2 linked regions of the Caenorhabditis elegans genome follow. Changing the gene in region 2 together with the main gene of any one other region gives a genetic interaction. Each region holds a gene or a part of one and is shown on either strand. Other genes may lie near its edges.

Region 1 (10,460 bases), on a different chromosome or scaffold from region 2:
TCGTACATAACTGTTATCTTATTTGGAAATATTGGAAATGTGTGGGTCTCCTGGAAGGTAAGAATTGCAAACATTTTTTTGGTCCCACCACGAAAACTTCTGGGGTACTGTAGCTTTTTGTAGCATCTAAAACTATAGATCTTAAAAAAATGAGAAACTTACATTATTTTGAAGTTTCAAAAAAAATCCAAAAATTTATTTTTTCGATTTGGAGTCACACCACAAAGCTCATGGGGTACTGAGTATTTTATTCAAATATTTTTGGAGCACAATTTTGTAAGTTTGAGCTCAAACTGGGTAAAAAATGAGCCAAACAGCCATAAAATTAACAAAGTTACATTCTCAATGCCAAAATCAAGATTTTTCAGGTCGGAATCGTATTTGTATTTGATAAATCATCTCTGGTACCCCGAAACATTGTGATGCTCATTTTGTTCATTTGCGTCGCCGATCTCCTGGTACTTCTACACCTCACACTTTTCGTGCACTTCCAGTTCGAGAAGCAGTGGATTTTTGGGAACATCGTCTGTAAGGTAGGGTTCGAAAAAATTGTGAAATAAATTCAAATTTTTATGCATTCGATAGAAAATTAAATTCTGCACACTTTAACATTTTTAAAAACTTTAAAAACGGCCCTCTCAGTGGAGTTATGACCTCATAAAGTTTTAGCGACGAGAGTGTGTGGGGTGAGGCGAGACGCAGCGCACTGTCTGCGTCTCCTCTCTCCCCACACTCTCTCGCCGCGTAAACTTTGAAGCCTTGTATCTTTCTAGGAAGAAGAGTTATGAAAAAGTTGTCAACTAAGAAATTGTGTAGAATTTTCAGCTCTATAATATAATTTCAAAAAACTTTTTTTTATAGATTCCCACTAGAAAATTGAGGCGGTTTTCAGTTTGAGTTTGAATGGCTCAACAGGTAACACGTTTGTTTTTCTTAAAATAGGTCACAGGTTCAATCTTCGCACCTCCCATTATTTTTTGTTTCAGTCATTCTACTGCATCGAGGTGGTCAACAAACTCATCATCCCATTGGCTCTTCTCCGTATCAGCAGGGAGTCTTACGAATCTGTTCGAATGACGTCACACAAATGCTCCAAAAAGAGGCGGAGCATATGGAATATTGTATTTCAGCTGTACTCTGTTATGGCGTTGATTGCAGTCGGAGTTTTGACGGTGAGATTTTTTTCTGATTTTTCTTTTGATACTCAAAAATTGTAGAGCTTGAAGTTCTACTCATTTTCTTATTTTTCAAAACTTTGATAGCTTCACTCCCCGCAGAGATATCCCGCTTTGAAGGTTTAGCGGCTAGAGAGTGTGGCGGCGGGGAGACGCAGTGCGCTCTGCGTCTCCCCCTACCCCACGCTCTCTCGCTGGTAAAACTTTGAATGGGCATAACTCCGCGGGGAGTGGAGCTACAAAGAAACTTCCAACTACAAAAATGATCAGAATTCAATTTTCTATTCAGATATCCGTACTAATTTTTGCGGAAACTCGAACTTACGAAATTCCACGACACGGAGAGCTCACTGCAGTCACCATGTGCATTTTCCACCCTCCTCATCCATATGGTAACAAAGTTTCACTAAGTTTTGGCAATTTTTAATTTTTTTTTTCAGCAATGGTGTTCAATATCTTAGCGTTTGTGTTTGGCTACGGATTCACTAGCGCTGCCTACATGTACTTTTATTTGAGGGTCCCCATGATCTTGAAGAGGAGATATTCGTCTATTAAAACTACTAGTAGTGAGTTTTTTTTCTGTTTTTTTAGAATAGAAATTTGGGTGAAATTTTTATTATTTATGTTGAAAAAAAATTTTGAAAAAAAATTTCAAAAAAATTAATAAATTTTTTCAATCGATTTTTTTGCAATTTTATTGATATTTTCTCACAATTTTTAGGTAATTCTACACGATTTAATCACCAATCAATACTAAAAATCCGCCATACCGTAAACGCTTTCGTGGTGGTCTATATGGCCTGTTGGACCCCCTACTGGGCTCTTTTCTGGCTTTTCTTCACATTTCCCCCGTCGAATAATTGGATGGTGATCATATCTCAAATGGCTCACCTGCTACCGTACATCTCGTGTGCCGCCTATCCGATTATCCTAACTTTTATCAATAAGGGAATCCGCAACGCCCACTCGACTATTATGACGAGCCAGAGGAAGAAGCTGATGACTATAAGAGCGGGGGCTTATCAGGTTGGTGATTGGAAACATAAAATTTTAAAAATTGAATGTTTAAGTAGTTAAGAGCACAAAAATTTTTGATTTTTAATAAAAAAAATTATTATTTTTTCGGTAAATTGAAAGTTTTTAGGCTCTACCCACTTTAAAAAAAATTTCAGCCTCAAAGTTTTTTTCTGAAAAATATTCTGAAAACTATTCTCTAACTAACTAATTTTGAATTTTGGAAAAAAATCCATTTTTAGATTAATTACAAATCGCAAGTTAGGCCCACTTTTTGACTTTTTTTGGAATTTTTCATCGAATTTTTTCTGAAAATAAATTTTTTTTTCAGACCTTGCTACCTGAGCCTGTAGTATGTGAAAACTGAGCTTTGATTTTTTATTCAAATCCCTTAAATTAGGCTCCGCCCACTTTAAACATTTTTGGGATTTTTGAGCAAATTTAAAAAAAAAAATTTTTTCGACTGGAAGTTTGTAGACCCTATTTTATAGATTTTTTAAATTGAAAATTTTGTGATATGTTTATAAAATAAATTTACAATTTCTGAAAATAATTTTTTTTTACAAATAAAAATTTCAAATTTAGCTACGCCCACTAAAATCTTATTTCCAGATGATAACTGCACAGCTCGGGTTTGTGCAAACTTGGCTCCGCGACGACAATACTCTTGCTCCAACACTAATCAGGCCGCGGTGGAGCTCCTCCGGCAGTGTAGTGCCTACCGAAATCCACGTGGAAAGTGTGGTGGAGGACGAGGAGACGGAGCCGGCGGCTCCGCAAATTTACTTGTAACTTTGAAAATATTAATGCATGGAAATTGTACTAAAACAGAAAACGAGTTTGAGTTGTAATAAATTATTAATTTTTTAAACTTTTTTTCCCAACATTTTTCAATTTTTTTGGGTCCCAGGGGGAAAATTGATGGGTATGCTGTAGATATAATTTTTTCGCACATTTTTGCAAAAAATGAGCAAAAAATCTTAAAAATGACTAAAGTTATAATTTTTTGAAATTTGAAAAAAAAAAAACGAAAAAAAAATTTTTTTTCAAAAAGTTATAAAATTCTAAAATTTTAAAAAGCCCAAAAATTCATTTATTCTCATTTTTCAAGCTTTGCCTGACCCAAAAGCACATCATTATTATTATTAACAACATTAATCCCATTCCGCATCGCCCGTTTCTCGGCAGTCTCCCTGGCTTCTGTCTCCATAATTTTGTCGAGGTTGAGCAGCTGGAGCACCAGCTTGTCCAGATCCCAAATGTGGAAAATATCGATTTCTCTGTGATTTTGCACAAAATCATTGCCGGCAGTCTGGAAAAATTCGATTTTCGAGGTGATTTGGGTTTTGGTAAAATTTTGAAAATAAAAATTTCAAAAAAACTCACAAATATATTGCTCAGCATGAGCACAATGGTTCCAAACCTCTCCGCGATTTTTTCTTCGGAATTTTCAAGATAATGGGTGTGTAGTGACGTCATTATCCTGTTAACTTGTTGGGTGATTAGGTGACGTTTCGCCTCTGACACGTTTTCGAAACCTGGAATTTTTTAGAGTTTTGCAAAGATTTTCAATAACACAAGCGTCATATAGAAAATCAAATTCTAAACACTTTTGCTTTTTGAATTTTTTTGATAGCTCTTTTCTCCGCTTAGTATGCCCTTGCAAAGTTACGGCGGCGAAAGAGTGTGGGGGAGGGGGAGACGCAGATTGCGCGCGCGCGTCGCGCACCCTCCCCACACCTCACACTCTCTAGCCGCCGCATCTTTGAAGTATTGTAACTTTGCAGGGAGTGGAGCTATCAAAAAGTTTCCAACTGATGAAATGTTTAGAACTTCTGGCTCTACAATATTTTAATGTTTTCGAACAAATCTCACCCCCTTGAAAGCACGCCAGCGCCTTCAGCGCCACAAATTCCTCAAAAGTGATCTTCATAGCTTCCATCGCAGGCATGATCTCGTCGGTGATTTGTTTCATAATTGGAACATAGTACTTTCTCTTATTCTCCCCACTGATATCCGTCTCATCCTCCCAGCCAACTCCATGATGGTCCGCTGTTGATATGAAGCCCCCGTTCTGCATTATCAGCTTATCAGGTTCACCGATTTGATATGATAAGAAGGATGGATCAAGTAGGAAATGTATTAATACAGCTTTCCGGAGCAGTGACATTCGGTCGAAGTCGTCGAGCTCCTGGAGCTCGGGCCAGGTTTGGAGCCACTCGTAGACTAGCATTATGTGTGTTTTTATGGTTAGACGAAAGTCGTGGAATACCAGGGGTTTTATGTCCTCTTTTTTGTAGGGCTAAAATTTTTTATTTGGTGATTTTTCAAAAAAAAATTGTGCTCCAAAATTTTTTTTTATTAGAAAACTCACACAATGCTTATTCTGTCCCAATAGAGTCCCTACTGCTCGTTCACTGAACAATAGCCTCCTTCTCTCACCGAGCTTCATCTCTTCCCGTATGAACAGGGTGAGCACATCCGGGCCCGCTGAGCAGGGAGCCATCGGAGATGGTCCGGGAGTACTGTAGTTTGTAGTTGTTGAGGCGCTGAAGGAGGTGGACGATGAGATTTTCCGAGGTGTAGGGGTTTTCTGGAAAAAATTGAGGAATGTTAAATTTTGAAAAACTAAATTTTTTTAATGTTCAATTTTCAAAAATTTTAATTTTGGCAATTTCAATTTTTTTCTAAATTTTTTAAACAAATTTTCTGTAAATCTTACTATCACAAATTCATTATCCTGTTCCAAGTCCTCCAAGCTATTTGGCTCCTGAACCTCAATTTTAGGAACCTTAACCCCCTCCACCACGAGCTTCTGCTCGTCAGCCGTCTGCGGGGACACATTCGCGAATTTCTTATTTCTCTTGAGCCCTGATTTTGTGAAAAATGCTCTTCCGGTTTCAATGTTTGGCTTTTTGGGTTGAACTCCACCGGGCTTCATCCCATTGCTCAGGCACTTTTTGTGACGGCAGCTTCTGCAGATTTGGTGCATACCTGGAATGAAATTTTAGGTTTATGCAAAAAATGGCAATGAAAACTTATAGAACTTTAAATTTCACACATTTTGTTGGTTTACAACTTTTTTATATGCCTACTCCATGTGGAGTTATGCCTCACAAAAAAATGGACTAAAAACCATTTTAACTTTAACATAAATCGATAGAAAATCAAATTCTACACATTTCCGCATAAAAATTTTTCTTGATATCCTTACTCTCCGCTGAGTTACGCCGTCTCAAAGTTTAGACAACGAGAGAGTGTGGTGGAGGGGGAGACGCCGGCAGCGCGCGCGTCTCGCACCCTCCTCCCGCCCCACACTCTCTCGCCTAGCAAACTTCAAAGAGGAATATCTCGGCGAGGAGGAGAGCTATCAGAAAATTTTAAAATGCAAAAATGCGTAGAATTTTGAGATCTACAACACTAGCAACTTACTATAATGAACATTGCAGTCATCCCTTCCTGTGATGCACTTGAAACTTTTTGTCAGTGCAACGGTCCGCCGGAAAAATGCAGCACAAGCTGAGCAGGACTGAGCTTCAAAGTGAAATCCAGTGGCTTGTGCTGAACAAATTAGACATCGCGTGGAGCTGGAAGAAGCTGGAAATCGGAATTTTGATTTTACAGTTTTTTTTCTAATTTCCAAATACCTACCTTCCGCCGTCATGTATACAAATCAATAAAAAGTCAATTTTTATAAAAGTTCACCAAAAAAGAGGGAAAAAAGTGGTGTGATTGTTGATATGATGCCGCGCAACAGAGTAGTGGAGCTGATAACGATTTTCTCTGATTTCTCTGCGCCTCCGTGTAGATACTTTTTTTTGCTTCTCTCTCATTTTTTCTTTGAATGGAGAGGTAACTTGATAAGGTATTTATGTTGTGTTCTGTGTACCTAAAAAATGGAAAGTGTTTTTTCCGGCAAAATTTGAATTTCCCGCCAAACTGTAGAACATAGAACATAAAATTTTCAATATGTTGTATTTTACAGTTTTTCTATATCTTTATTTATAGCAGAGTTACACCTCTTTAAAGTTTGCGAGGCGAGAGAGTGTGGTGTGGGTGGAGGGTGCGAGACGCGCTCGCCGCCTGCGTCTCTCCCTCCGCCATGCTCTCTCGCCTCTCAAACTTTGAAGGGGTGTAACTCCGCGGAGAGTAGAGCTATTGAAGAAATTTCAAATACTTTAATGTTGAGAATTTAATTTTCTGTTTGAAAATCATAGTTTCAGAAAATCTCCAGTAAACAATAAACAACTTTTAACAAAAACAGTACAACTTCCCAGCTACCACTATGGTGTATCATTGGCTGTATCAATTTGAGGCATTAAACATGACCAGAGAGCACTGGAAACTGAGAGACGTAGAGACGCAGACAATTGATAAGACTAGTGATACATTGATAAGGCTACACGTTTCTACATGTGATCATTCTATAAAGAATGGAGTGGTTGAAACTTTTGATTTTTTTGCTAAAAATTTGAATTTTTTTAATTGATTTTTTGTTGTTGTAGGACTCAAAATTTTACGCTGAAATTGAAATTTTTATGCTAAAACTAAAATTTTCACGCCGAAACTCAAAAATTTCACATTTTCACCTTTTTTCTTGCCATTTCAACACTTTTTCCTGTAATTCTCTATGCACATCCGTGTCGTTTATCATTTTTCCGCCACCTTATCACTTTTGCCCATTTTCGGAGAGTTTTTCATATTTTTTTCCAACAGTTTCAGATTCATGATTCCGTCTACTTCAACAGATTTGCCAATTCCTGATCATATTACTGTGAGTTACAAAAAAATTTTGGAAAAAATTTTTTTTTGAACTTTTTTTTGACTTTTTATTACTTTCCGAAATTTTGAAATTTGCCATAATACACTTCCAGACTCAAAATTTCACGAAAAATTTAAAAACTTCACTCCCAATCTCAGAAAACAAAAACTAACTTCATAAACCTTGCAGGAAATTCCAGTAGAGTCCGACTACGAGGACGCGGTGTCAAGTGGCGAGGAGCTCTCAAAATTGTGTGATTCCTTAAAATCTCATCTGGGTACTGTAACCAAAATGCGGAGGAGTAAGAAAAGTGTCTCGAAACTTTTGTCGAATCAGGAACGGATGGCTCAGTACTATAGCCGCGAGTCGAGCAGCGAGCACTCGAGTTTGGAAAAGCTTCGTGGGTTTTTTCCTGATTTTTTGTTTGAAAAATCAAGTTTTGAGGATAAATTTAAAATTTTTTTTAATTAGGCTGTTTGAGAGCTTTTAGAAAAGTATAATTTTTTCTTAATTCCACAAATTTTTCAACTACAAAAAAATAAATTTGAAAAAAAAATTCTTTTAAAAAAAAGTTTTTTTCCTTTTTTTTTCATTTTCTCTTGCGAAACCTCAAAAAATGTATATTTCTCTGAAAGCCAATTTTAAGCACAACTCAATTATTTTATTTAGAACCCGATGAAATCAAAAACCGGAGAATTACGGGGCCATCAAAGGGGCGACGGAGCAACAGTGGAAGTGACCACAGCAGTGACTGGAAAGTACTCAATTTGGCGGTAAATTCGAATTTTTTAAGTTATAAACACATTTTTATGTAAAACAGGTTTTTGAAATATTTCTGTAAATTTGAATTCAAAAAAAAATTTTGAAATTTTTTTTTCAAAAAAAATTTCCAATCAATTTTATCCGATTTTCAGCCAATTTTTACCCAAAAATTTCAAATTTTCAGTTCCAAGAAATGGCTCACTACCCACTTTTAATGCAGCTCAATGAGCAACTTATGGAAATTTCAAGGCAGCTGAATAGCGTCGAAACTACCAATGCACTACAATTAAAGGTTATCATGCATCTGTTGAATCGGGTTTCTAAGGTATGTATTGATTTTTTTAATTTATCGATTTTCCAAAAATCGATAAATAATTTTAGGCTCAGTAAATTATCGATTTTTGGTTTTTTTTCGGTTTTTTTTTAATTAGCGAATTTTTTAAATTAATTGTAGTTTTTTTTTTCAAATTTTACTATACACTTATCAAAAAAAAATTCTCAAAACAGTTTTTTTTCAAATTATCGATTTTTCAGCGCCGAACCACGTGGACTCAGTCGATTTGCCGCTTTTTCCGGAATTTTCAATTTTTCTTTTTCGCATTCTCCTGGCCTTTCATAGCACGGTTACTGTACATTTCTTACCTTAAAATGATGAGAAATCGATGATTTATTGATTTTTTAAGAGAACTAGCGTTTTTATATATAAAAATAAAATCTATTTATTTATTCAAATTCAATCAAATATACACAAAAAAAATGAGATTTTTCACGGTAATTAAAGAAATATTATCGTTTTTCATTCTTTATCTAAACCTTTGGAATTGTTGATCTGACATTTCCGATTGTTGAAAATTGCTGTGCAAGTTGGAGCAACTCGTTTTCGGTCAAATAACCGTCCTGGTTCTTGTCGAGCATTGCGAAAATTTGCTGGACATCGGATTTGGTGACCTGTAACTTGGTAACTGTGATGACTAGAAAAAAATTACAAGAAAAGAAATTGTAGAGCGTAAAATTTACTATATTTTGTTAGTTGAAAACTTTTCGGTATCTTTCCCCACCGCCGAGATACAACGCTTTAAAGTTTGCGCGATGAAATAGTGTGGAGGGGGGAGGGTGCGGGACGCGCGCGCTGTCTGTGTCTCCCCCTTCCCCACACTCTTTCACATCTCCAACTTTAAAAGCGAATAACTCTGCTGAGAATGGAGCTAACAAAAAGTTTTCAACTAACAAAGTATAGCAAATTTCCAGCTCTACATTTTCCACTTCACACAACATTTTAAAAATACCATAAACTCACCTTATTAGTGGAAGTTTTCTGTGAGAAAGTGTAAAGCTCCAACTGGTCCAACTTGTTATCACCGTTGGCGTCAATAAAGCTGAGGAGCTGGAGAGCCTGGTTTCTTTGCTCCTCGGCTGGGCTCAGGCTCTTGGCTCCGCTGCTCAGGTGGTTTTTGAACTCGGCATAAGTGAGCTGACCATCTCTGTTAGTGTCGGCGATTGAGAGGATTCCGTCGATAATTCTGAAAACTATATGTTGTGTGGTCCTATGCACATAAGATGTGTTATCTATAATTTGATTTATGCGGCCTGTTTGGCGGTCTATTAAGGTTCACATTCTTCCCTCTTGCTCTGTTGGTCTTCCCTCCCTCTCCCTGTGTAGGTTGTAAATTATGTTGTAAATGAGAGGCACTCTAGTTTCAATGCCTATCCTAGGTTCTCTATTATCCTTACTAATAAATGACATAAATGCCAATAATTGTTAGGGCACAACACTATAGAAGGTAAAAATTGCAATATCTTGAAAACTAGTAAAGTATTCAAGACTTTGTCAACTAACAGATTGTAGAGAATTTTTAGCTCTACATTTTGTTAGTTAAAATTATTTGGATAGCTCTTTTCCCAGCTGAGATATCAAGGTCTGAAGTTTATACATGCAGAGAGTGTGGGAGAAGGGGAGAGTGCAAGACAGCGCGCGCGTCTCGCACCCTCCCCCTACCCCACACTCTCTTGGCATGCAAACTTTAAACCGTTCTATCTCTGCGAGGAAAAGAGCTATAAAAATGATTTTTTAGTAGTATCATCTCCGAAACTCTTACCTATCATTATTATCCTTTCTGATCTTCTCCACCTCAGCCTTATCCACAATTCCATCATCATTCAAGTCCATTTTTTTGAAGAACTCATAATCCATGTCAACTGGCCGCCGGCTCATCTCATAGACCAATGGCACAAACTCAGAAATATCCAAGTGCCCGTTACGGTCCAAATCGAAGCGTTGGAAGTATTCTGCAAGTTAGTCATGCTCATCTCAAGGTGATCGGGAATCTAGTTTTGAGTAGAACCCCTCTGTGTTTAATAGCTGTAGCTGTATCTATTGTTCGGTTTGTGTAACTGTAGTATGACTAATTTCACCTAGTCACGAATGAGTGTGGGATCAAAAATCAGGGGTATCTGAAGAACTAGGTGTTCTATCAAAAAGTGTTCAAGTACAAAGTTGTAGAAGATTAAATTTGGCACATTTTGTTACTTGGCAAGTTTTTGATAAATTTGCTCATTGAAGAGTTACAGGCGCTAGCTCACTCCGGTCAAACAAGACACTCTAGCCAGTCAGTCTTTAAAGCTGTATAACTCTAACAGAGTTACAAAAAAATTTCCAACTAACAACTTGTAGTAAAATTCTAGCACTACATTTTGGCAGTTGAACATTTTCAAAAATCTTGCAAAGTTCCCCCTACCTTGCCCATCAG
Region 2 (10,460 bases):
AAAGAGCGAAAATGTGTGAAGTACTGGAAGAAAATAAATTCCGAATTGTCCTCGCGGTGTACACGGGGAGAACGCCCAGCTCGTAAATTTACACAACTTTTGAAGAGACATAGTCATATGAAAACGTATGGTCTCGCCGCATGGCGGCTTACTGTAGTTTTTCGCTCGTCGACGCTGTCGAAACATGTACAAAGTACAAAAAATCGATTTTTTAAAAGTTTTTTGACACTCATGAATAACCCCATAATAAATCATAGTTCTACCAAATTTCTAAAGTCGGTATTTCCCACTCACCTCTCCAAATACTGGCCGCTCATTTCTATCGAACATAATGCAATTGTCATATAATTTGAGCATGCTCTTCGGCGTATCATGTCGAATTTTCGATCTATCCGGCCTCAAATACCCTCTTCCAACCATAAACAATATCTGATCTCGATTATTAATGTTGGAGTATGGTAGATGCGAAGATAGAATTTCGTACATGCATATTCCAAAAGAATACACATCAGACTGTGGGGTATATGGATTATCATCTTGCATTCTGATGACTTCAGGTGCCATCCAGAGAATACTTCCTGTTGGTTGTTGTTGCTGTTGACCTCCGTTCACTGTCCATTTCGTTTTGACAGTTGCCAAGCCGAAATCTCCAATTTTTACCGTTGACATGTCATCCATAAGGAATATATTGTTCGTTTTCAAGTCACTGAAATGTTTTAAACATTTAAACATAAATTATAGATATGGTCAGTTACCGATGAATAATATTTTTTGAATGTAAATAATTCATTCCAAGAGACACTTGCTTCAGTATATCAATGATAGCACCCATTTCAAATTCGACGCGTGGCTCTGAAAATTATTAAATTATAAGAATTAAAATCTCAGTTCAGATCACCTTGAACATGAATATGTCTATACAAACTCGATCCTTCACACCATTGAGTAATAATTGCAATTTCTGGTTCTCGAACCCATCCCATAAACAGCAAAACATTCAAATGACGTGTTTTCTTTAAAACTGCAACTTCATTTTTAAAGGCTGCCATTTGAGAAGGCGTCGGATCAACAACATTCAGCTTTTTTATAGCAACAGTTCCGAAGAATTCTCCACGATAGACGGTACCGAAGGATCCCGAACCAACTTTGTATTGAATCTAAAAGAATGCTTGTTTTAATAGTTTTGACAGAAGTTTTGAGCGTTTTTTTATTGCTTCAACTGTAAAAAAAAAAGCTATTTTCAGATAAATAAAATGTTTTTTTTCTATATTCGATCACTGAATTTAAATGAAAAAAATTAGGATAACATGCTCCTTTTGTAGAACTGCCGGTTTGCAAAAGCCGTGCACCCTTGCTGATGTAGAATAAACTTACAATAAATTCATTCGGCAATATTTCCCAATCCTCATGATGTGGTTTCTGTGGCGGCCTGGGTCGTTGTGCATCAAGTCGTTCGCCTGGCGATCGACTACGATTTCGGAAGAAACCAGGTGAAATCTAAACATTTTTAATTGAAGAAAAATAGATTTTTTTGAATTCTACCTTCTGAGGAGGTGCTGATTGTGGTGGTGTTAATGGGAGAGTATGCAAATGAGCGGCTACTAATGATGACGTCGTTGATCCTGATACATTCGGGGATTGTCCAAGAGTAGGTTGTCCGATTAAGCCACCTGGAGGTGATGAACATGTAGATGAAGGAGAATTCGAGCCAAGAGGAGTACAGTCAACAAGTGGGTGAAGACGATTCATTCGAGCTCCTGAATAATTGAGAATAAGTGAAATTAAAATAATTAGAGTCGTTTGGGAAATTCTTGAAGGTGGAATAGAGTAAAAATTGTTTTTATAACTTTAGAAAAACGTCTTAAATTTGGAATTTTGTTTTTCTTCCCTGACCTTTTGACGAATCGTTATGTTTTCTGTTTTCGATTACCTGACAAAATATGTCCACTCTGGAAATGAGGTCGATGACGTGCTTGTGTTGAAAGTAACGATCCAGTTTTATCTCGTGATTCTTCTTCTAATCGCTGAGCTTCCAATGCATCAAGAATTCTTTGCTGAAAATAATACATTTTAGACTTTTTCTTTTAAAATTGGTGACTATTACATTATGTTGAACTGTTGCCTCATCATTAATCGCATTGATATTCGGAGCAGAAGAGCTCCGATCCCGTGGATAAGGTCCGGATGGAGATAATTGAGATGTTTCATTCTGTGGAGAAACAGCCATTGGATGTCTTTTGACACCACCCGTTCGTTTAATACTCGTCAAATCTGGATGAGAACTGTCTGGTGTGGCAGCTGGACTTTGTCCACTCGTTGGAGCTAGATTAGCAAGAACTATTTCGGCAACTGATCTATCTGGGCCTTCGACTTGTGATGCGATCCCAAAGAGTTCTTTCACTAGCTGAAAATTAAATGTTTTAGATAAGAATTGTTTCTGAAGCAGAGGTGAGCAATTACGCCATGTTGTTCCAACATTTTTCATTAAAAATCAGTGTAAAAAATATATAGAACCACCTTAATTATCTAATGATAACTTTTAATTATGTTTAAACATCTATGAAAATGCACAAAAATGACCTAGAAGTTGCGAATTGCCTATGGCAAATGGCCATTATTGTGCATTTTCACAGATCTTTAAACATAATTAAAAGTTGTCATTAGATAAATAATGTGGTTTTCTATATTTCGACGTTAATGACAAATGTTGGGACAACATTGGTAATTTTGTAATATTGCCGCCCGCCTTTGTTCTGAACGCACATCTTCATTTTTCGGTACAGATTGTAACAAATCGCAATAAAGTGGTGCAAACGATGAGCATCTTTGATGAAATTTGAATTGACAAAATTCACATCGAAATCCCATCATCCAGATAGGATTATTGCATACATCACATGATTTCGGTGGAATAAACGTTCTTCGAACAATTGCATGTTTAATCGATGAGACTGTATTCAGATATTCTGAATGAACCCATAATTCATTTCCAGGCAGTCGGGATGCGATCTCTTCCATTGTCAGCTGAAAATATTCAAAAATAAGAATTATGCTGTTAGATTCCAGTAAATCACACCGATAATTCAATAGATTCTTGTTTTGGGTCAGATGACGCGTTCACGTGACATAATTGAGGTGTGATATTCCGTTTTTTGAGCAATTTCGAAATGGCATCCCGCGCGGTTTCACCGGGACGAACCTGAACAAAATGTGCTTATTTTCTTCGTTTCACAGTGAATTTTTTGCTTACTTCAACCCTAGAATGTTGATCAAATGGCAAATGAACCATAATCATTTTGTATTTGAATTTTGGCGGTTCCTTGTCACTTGTTCCTGCTCCTCCAGCGGAATGATGTCCAGATAACGAATGAAGACTATCACTGTGCTTTGGATAAAGAGGAGTTGAAGGACTTGCCATCGGCGAAGCTTGATCCTGAAAATAATTATGAGTTACATATAAATATTTAATTGATAATCTTTGGAATGAGAAGTGGACGCTTGATTCTGAATTGAATAGATTAACACGATTCCCCACAAGTAACATGTAATTAGTGTTAAAAAATTCAAGACAAAGGATTCGTTGCTAATTTTCTACCTTCCGATCAATAGATGAAGAAGCACATCTCGGCAGACTTATAAGCCGCGGAGATGGGCAATGTGGGCTCGTCGGGGTGGTCGACGCCGATGACTTTTTGAAATTAATCCGACTCATTCGGCGGCGTGTCGACGATGATGATGGCGTTTGAGATGATGTGACAGGTGACTTCTAAATTGCTGTTAGTGATTACATGTAATTAAAAAACAAAAGGACAATTTGGACGAGTAAAACATTAAACACGGACTTTTAAAGGACATTTGAGAAATCAGAACAAGCAATAAGTAAATTACTTTTCAGATGCTCTATTTTATTATTGTGAAGCACTTTTTAAAACAATCTGAACAAATAAATGTTTCCCTTTAGCATTTTTCACTTTCATTTTATTTGTGGAAAACGTTCGAAAACACACCGTTTCGCGAGAGCATTCCATGTGAAAATTGCAGTTAATTCCAAAATAAAATAAACCAGAAAATCAATATATTCGCAGATAGAAGGTCAACAAAAGAAAGAGAGCGGCGGTAAGGGGCGCAAAGATGATTTTTTTCTTTTCCGAGAAGAGTACACGGAGGGAGTTAGTCCGCGGGCCGAACACACTTTTCTCTTCCATTTTCGCGCAGAAGATTTTAACCCAGATTTTGCAGGGTTTATTAGAATTTTCAAATAATAAGGACAGCGTTGCGCTCGGTTATATGAATTTATGTAGATGGAGTGAAGCTTTAAATAAATCTATTATTAATGGAAATATGGAATACGTTTATTTTCATTAGTTGATAAATTAACTTTTCAAATCTACAGTAACTCGATAGCTGAAAAGAAAAGTTAAAACTTGTATTGAAAAAGATGTTACGAATGAAACGTGGGATTCCCATGTTCAAAAAAGGAATCACGAATGTTCAATTTGCTGGCCAATTAAACAATTGTGTTCGCAAAGTTTTAAATGCAATCGTGTATTTTCTCAATACAGAAGCCCCGCGGGTTGCTTCATAAAGTCATTTGATTATTCAAATATCACTATGATTTCACAGAGTGTACCCTATTGATTTAAATCAGTTTTCAACTTACTGGTGCCGATTTCCGACGATTCCAGCCTCCATGAAAGTGACAAACTGAATACAGTACAGCCATTGCAGACATTTTAAAATGTTATGTGATCAATTATGGAATATAATTATCTCCAGATAACTTTAGAAGAATTTCAGAAAGTAAAAATATATTGTTAACAGGGGCCCCTTTGGATCCAATGGTTCTCTTCACACACAAAAAAAGAGAGGCGGGGTTTGTTTTCGCCATCTATTTTTTCTCACTGGTTTCTGTGCTCTGATCGAGAGAGATAGAAAAAGAGAGCAAAGAAAAAGAAACGTGTAAATCGGGAGCGACACGTGCCACGAATAGGTTGACAATGTTTTCAGCGTTGGGTCTTAACACGAAACAGATGACCTTAGTTTGTGAAGAGAGCAGCAAGTTGATTTGAAGAAACAAGGTCATACGTGACAAAACACAAACTAGAAAAGAATATATTCGAAAAAAACCACTAATCAAATTATAAAAGAAGGAACTAGATGACATTTGGTTAATAAGCTACTTCTAGTTAGTACACCCCGAATTAGCTGTGAAAGTTGAAAAAACGGGAAAAGTTTATCTGAAACTGACAGACTAGACAAATGTCTGTGACATATTGCAACTAAGATTTTGCAGAATGTGGACATTTTTGAGAAAAAAGGGATTACATGACTCAACTGATTACCTTTACGTTATGGTAATTTTCAAATTTTCTGAAAAGTGAACTGATCTGTTAAGATTGGTCTTGCCACGAAAAAATAGTTCATTCTAGGATTTAGAAAAATTTGGTATCATTTGCTTCCTTGGAATCAACTTAACTTAAGTATTACTTATCAACTTATTATCTTAACATTTGTCAACTTTACCACTTTTAAACAGTTATTTTGAAACTAAATTTTCGAAAGTTGGAAAGCAGAATAAAAGCAGCTGGCATCACGGAGATTAAAACATATGTCTTAATGTGTTTTCTCGCGACGAGACCCATCTGAGTTGATACATGTTTTGAGGAATAAGCGTGAGTCTAAAAATCTATTTTGAAAAATCTATGAAAAAAATCCAAATTCTACGAATAAAAATCAATGGGATCGCGCATCAAATGTGTTTTGTTCGTTCCGCCTCTTCATTCCACTCTATTCTCATCTTTTTCCGCCAATTTCCACTTGAAAAGTGCGAACAATTCCTCAAAAAAGAAACAAAATACACTATATTCCACATCAAAGAGGTCATTTTTCTATCAAATATTTGTTTTGGTTTATCAAAAAGATTGAGGTTCTAAAGATTATTATTAAAAGTTTTAAATAAACAAACTACGAAAGCATTATTTTGATCTAATGTTGACTATACAAAACTTTTTCAAATTTCTTTGATCACTAGAATTTCAAAAAAAAACCTATTTCAGTATAATTGTAGTTCGCAAAATAACAATTATTTTCATTTTAATGTGAGATATCGTAGTTCTTAATATAGATTTTCAACAGAAATTCAGAAATTTGGCTTCATCGAAATTAACTTTGAATCGTACATTGGGACGTCCTGTCTTCAGAAATTTTCAGCCGACATGCTCAAACGAGCTCCAAAAAAGTTTAAAAGTATCTATTGCAAGGTTTTCGCCAGCTTTAGAAATTAACACCAAATCTACCTCTACAGTTAAAAGTTTAAGAGCATTGGACATTTCAAATTGAACGCTATTCAAAGATTATAATCAAAGATTATAATCGAAAAATCGATTTTTCGATTTTAAACTAGATCCCTTGAAACAGTGAAAAAATTTCTATGTTTAGTCGCTCAAAAACCTCTTCATACTCTGTGTGCTCGTTGTACTCAAAGTTTGTCTTTTTACTACATTTTGTATAGTTCGATTGCTTTTCCTTCCTCCTTTCCATCTTTCCCTTCTTGCTCTTTTGCTCCTTCTGGTCACCAAAAACATCATGATCATTGATTTTCTCAGCTTCTCTGAGTATCTTGAACTCTACTGATCTTAAATCAGTTCGGTGCAAAAGAAAACGAGAAAGAAATGAAGAAAAAGAAGAAGATATATGTGTATGTGATATATTTATTGTTTGAGTGATTTAGTGACAACAAGACTCGGCTGACTTTTGAACTAGTTTTTAGGGGGCTCTAGTTATAGATCAACTGTAGATAATACTAGAAGTGGGCGCATGATGCACACATCGCCAACAAAATCTGGTCAACAAATAAGTTTTGACATATTTTGTAAGTTTACGATTTGTCTGAAATTTTGTATGGGCTACTTACATATAGTGTGCAGTTAGTATATACAAGCCTACAAGTTTTAGCTAAGCTTCTTGGTACTTTGTTCTGAAAATATGTAACATTACTAATTTTTTTGCGATATTTTGGATTAGGCCTTTGAGTTTTGATGTTAAGTAATAACTAAATCAATTATGTTTTGTTCGTAGATGAGAAAAATTCATCACAACATTTCATCAAAATTGGACCACACACACAGAAATTTTATAGCAAATGAGAAACAGTGAAATTTACTAAAAAATATTAAATTTTTCCGATTATATTTTTTCGTTAAATATTTAACTAGACAGTGAATAAGTTCAATTAATTGCATAAAAAACAATTTAAATTTTTTTCAGATCAAACAACTAAGAAGCTATTAGCTGAAACTAGCTGAAACTTTTAGGATTGGATGTCCTAACTGCTATATAACTCACCTATACAAAATTTGAAAATAAACTTGAATTGACCATACATATACGTCTTATTTGCTGACCTAATCCAATTAATTGTAGAAAATTTAATTTTGATTTCTAAACTTTTACAGATCTAAAATTAAATTGACACCTGTTTTTTTTTCTTGCTATTTCAAAACATTTTTCAAGCTGACTACAGAAATCTATATGTTTATAGTTGAAGAACAGTTGTTCTAGATTCTAGAACCTCACTCATTCCAGGTCAATAACTCAAGAAAAGTCTTCATGTCCTTCCATCGTCAGGTGACCCAAGACACCCGAATTCATAAACTACGTCAAATGTGACCCATATTTCATCACTAAGTCATTGGAGAAGATCAGCAAAGAAAAGTGAAAAAACATTCGAGAAGGACCTAGAACACATGCACCTCTCATAAAAGACGGGTCGGCGACGAGTCACTTTGCTCGTTTTTATTCTATCTTTTCGTTTCAAGCAAAAAAGAATGAAAGTTAGTGTAATTTTTCTGGGATCTTTGTGTGTGTGTGAGCTAGATAAACATGCACATACGGGTCCTTGGAAACCCGTGAAAACAATTGGAAGACACTTGATGTGAGGGAATGAAAAATATGAAATTGATGACAGATGATGATTTGGACTTCGAAAAGTTCTAGTGATCCTACTGTAATTTTAGCAATATATATATAAAGGTGTAAGAGGCACACTTCCGGAAAATCTTGCGTCTATAAATTTGTGGCTTCGTTCAATCGAAACTGAGTTGTTCTAAAAATCTTTGATACTATTTCAGTTTGTAAATCAAAAAATTGAAAATGGAATATAACACTCCTAAAACCTAATTGTCTACAAGAAAACCATAACTCATCGTGTAGGCGACCTACGCCTACTTTACATTTGTTCATGTATTTACGGAAATGTAGGCATAGGTTGCCTTCGAAGTTACGCCTGCCGTGCGGCATGTAGATTAAATGAAAATTTGAAAACTTTAAACTTCAACTTATAAAAAATCTTGAAAGTTGCTTAAAAATCTGAACCAATACATTTTTGAAGCAAGATTTTATGTGACCTACAACAAACAAAAAATAAATTTTGAAGTTAGGTCAATCACGCAGATTAAAAATTAACAGCCTGAGTACCTACATGTGAGACTTATTTAACACCTGATGCCTATGTTACATATAAGTCCTCGCGGTAAACTAGGCTACCTTGTAGGAAGTCAGGTAGGTATTTTTGTATCTCCATCGATGACTTACCACTATCGAGATCTAACAGTTAAATTTATAATGTTAAACTCAACTAGAAAATCAACTAGAAATACGGTCTGGAAAAACCAAGAAAAAGTTGAGAAATTGACGCTTTTTCAAAGAAAAATGCATAGTTCCAAATCTTGAACGGTTCCTTTTTGATCATTTTTTCTTAATTTTGACTAAGACTACTATTAATAAATACTAATTTTTCAGAAAACATCAAATTGTATTAGAAAAAGAAAAGAAATGATTTCTGTTTCACCACTTTTGTAAAATCCTAGACAAGTTTGTAACATCTTTTATGAATTCATTGTAGTCTTACAACTCGTGATTATCTTTTTCCCATAAGAGTAAGATCAGTCATGTTTAATCTATCGAATCTCTGCACTTTCCCCCTAATAATTCCCATGAAAAGCCACAATCAAAAATCATTTTGCAAAGTTACAACTCGCGATGAATGAGAATTAAATTGGACACATGGGAAATGCAGAAAAAAAAGAAATGCAGAAATTTAACACAAAAGCATAAGTGAGCACTCTCCTGTTTTTCAACAAAACGGGCGCCACGTTACCAAGGCAACCAATGAGAGCTTCCGAAAATGGGGAAGAGAGTTGGAGAAAATGCTTGCATTTTTTGAAGGAAAAATAGTTTATGAAAAAGAAGAGAGAAGACAAAATGAAGGGAAATAAAATAGGGAAGAAGAAGAAGAAAATGAATGTGAATAAAGGATAAAATATATTTGGAAGAGAAGAAGATATTAACTTTTTTTTAGGGATTCTAATGAAAAACTGAAATGAGAGAAGATCGGGAAATAAATACATACTTGTTTGAATTCTAAAACTTTTCAAAACTGGCAAAAAGTTTCAAAATTGTAATTTCAAATTATTGCACATACAGGTTATGTCTATTAATTTAAAAATGAACGGTCTCAATAAGTTGGATGTTTTAAAAGCTTGCATTCATTTTGTCAAAGATGTCACATTGTTCTGGAGTTTCTGCACAAGAACAATTGTCCTGGAATTTCAGTCCTGGTGGATGCGAATTCCAGTTGAATTTTTGGCTTTTTGGCATTTTGCAACGAATTTTCAATTTTTAAAAATATTTCTAAACACACTTCTCATAGCTCAATATGCAATATGACCGACTATCATAATGAATAGAACACTCCAACACAGTTTTGGCAAATTACCAAATATTCAAAAACTTCGACTTTAAATAGAAATTTTGAGCATTAGCTCGAACCCCTAGAATGATTAAATACAAAAATTGAAACTGAAATAAATATAATAATAGAACAAACAATTTTTCAGTCGCCTTTCAAAATTATGATATGTCAAAGCTTAATTTTCACCACTTTTTGATTGTAATTAATTTTTTTTTGTAATTAAAATTTACTATATTGTTTGGATGAATATTTATTTTTATTTATTTTTGAAGCGAAAATTTCCACAAATGAAAAAGTCCAACTTTAAAAGCAAAAACTCAAAACTTTTGAAAGTTGTTATTTCGAAAAGTCTAAATAAAATGAAAAGTTGTGTTGAAGAATTAATTTTCAAAATCATGAGGATTTTCAGATTGGAAAAACACAAAAGCAACAAATCTTGGAACCAAAATCCAGATATCTGAATGTACTTTTGATATTTTAATTAGTTCAATTAGTTCAACTATAAGTACCAAATGAGTCATTGCTCTTGCAAAAAAAGAGAACAAAGCACTGCAGAATGAGCACCGGAAAATTTTCGCCGAGTGTGGTTGAAAACGAAGTAGGTGTAATAATGGCTCCGCGAATATCTTTGCTCCCACAACCACTGACAGCAGTTCTTTTTTCTACATATATTCTTCATTTTAGAAGGCAGTCAACGAAAGAATAGTGA

The links. Genes that interact genetically often act in the same process or in processes that back each other up.
Region 1: of lin-45 (region 2) and nhr-80, changing one enhances a phenotype caused by changing the other (phenotypic enhancement), as found in Caenorhabditis elegans (one large-scale study listed by BioGRID).

The regions. Positions count from the first base shown.
Region 1 is NC_003281.10:8,901-19,360, forward strand, and holds nhr-80 (Nuclear hormone receptor family member nhr-80), read right to left. Parts: upstream 5,854-10,460; coding exon 5,622-5,853; intron 5,184-5,621; coding exon 4,912-5,183; intron 4,783-4,911; coding exon 4,564-4,782; intron 4,492-4,563; coding exon 4,065-4,491; intron 3,728-4,064; coding exon 3,576-3,727; intron 3,502-3,575; coding exon 3,289-3,501; 3' UTR 3,231-3,288; downstream 1-3,230. Other genes in the region: npr-30 (G-protein coupled receptors family 1 profile domain-containing protein), read left to right, coding at 1-57, 369-533, 987-1,172, 1,465-1,567, 1,616-1,741, 1,897-2,201, 2,802-2,981; H10E21.1 (Transposase), read left to right, coding at 6,916-6,963, 7,141-7,351, 7,621-7,724, 7,898-8,038, 8,248-8,379; H10E21.4 (EF-hand domain-containing protein), read right to left, coding at 8,521-8,661, 9,011-9,233, 9,810-9,999, 10,449-10,460. UniProt on the Caenorhabditis elegans protein: Transcription factor. Binds to regulatory elements and regulates transcription of target genes, including acyltransferase dgat-2.
Region 2 is NC_003282.8:6,743,693-6,754,152, forward strand, and holds the start of lin-45 (Raf homolog serine/threonine-protein kinase), read right to left. Parts: upstream 4,733-10,460; coding exon 4,661-4,732; intron 4,123-4,660; exon of another isoform or gene 4,029-4,122; coding exon of another isoform or gene 4,008-4,028; intron 3,767-4,007; coding exon 3,596-3,766; intron 3,434-3,595; coding exon 3,251-3,433; intron 3,200-3,250; coding exon 3,077-3,199; intron 3,025-3,076; coding exon 2,764-3,024; intron 2,405-2,763; coding exon 2,105-2,404; intron 2,055-2,104; coding exon 1,931-2,054; intron 1,758-1,930; coding exon 1,543-1,757; intron 1,498-1,542; coding exon 1,375-1,497; intron 1,158-1,374; coding exon 899-1,157; intron 853-898; coding exon 756-852; intron 707-755; coding exon 295-706; intron 1-294. UniProt on the Caenorhabditis elegans protein: Protein kinase that participates in the induction of vulva and has roles in fertility and viability. Acts downstream of the Ras protein let-60. Required for progression of developing oocytes through the pachytene stage.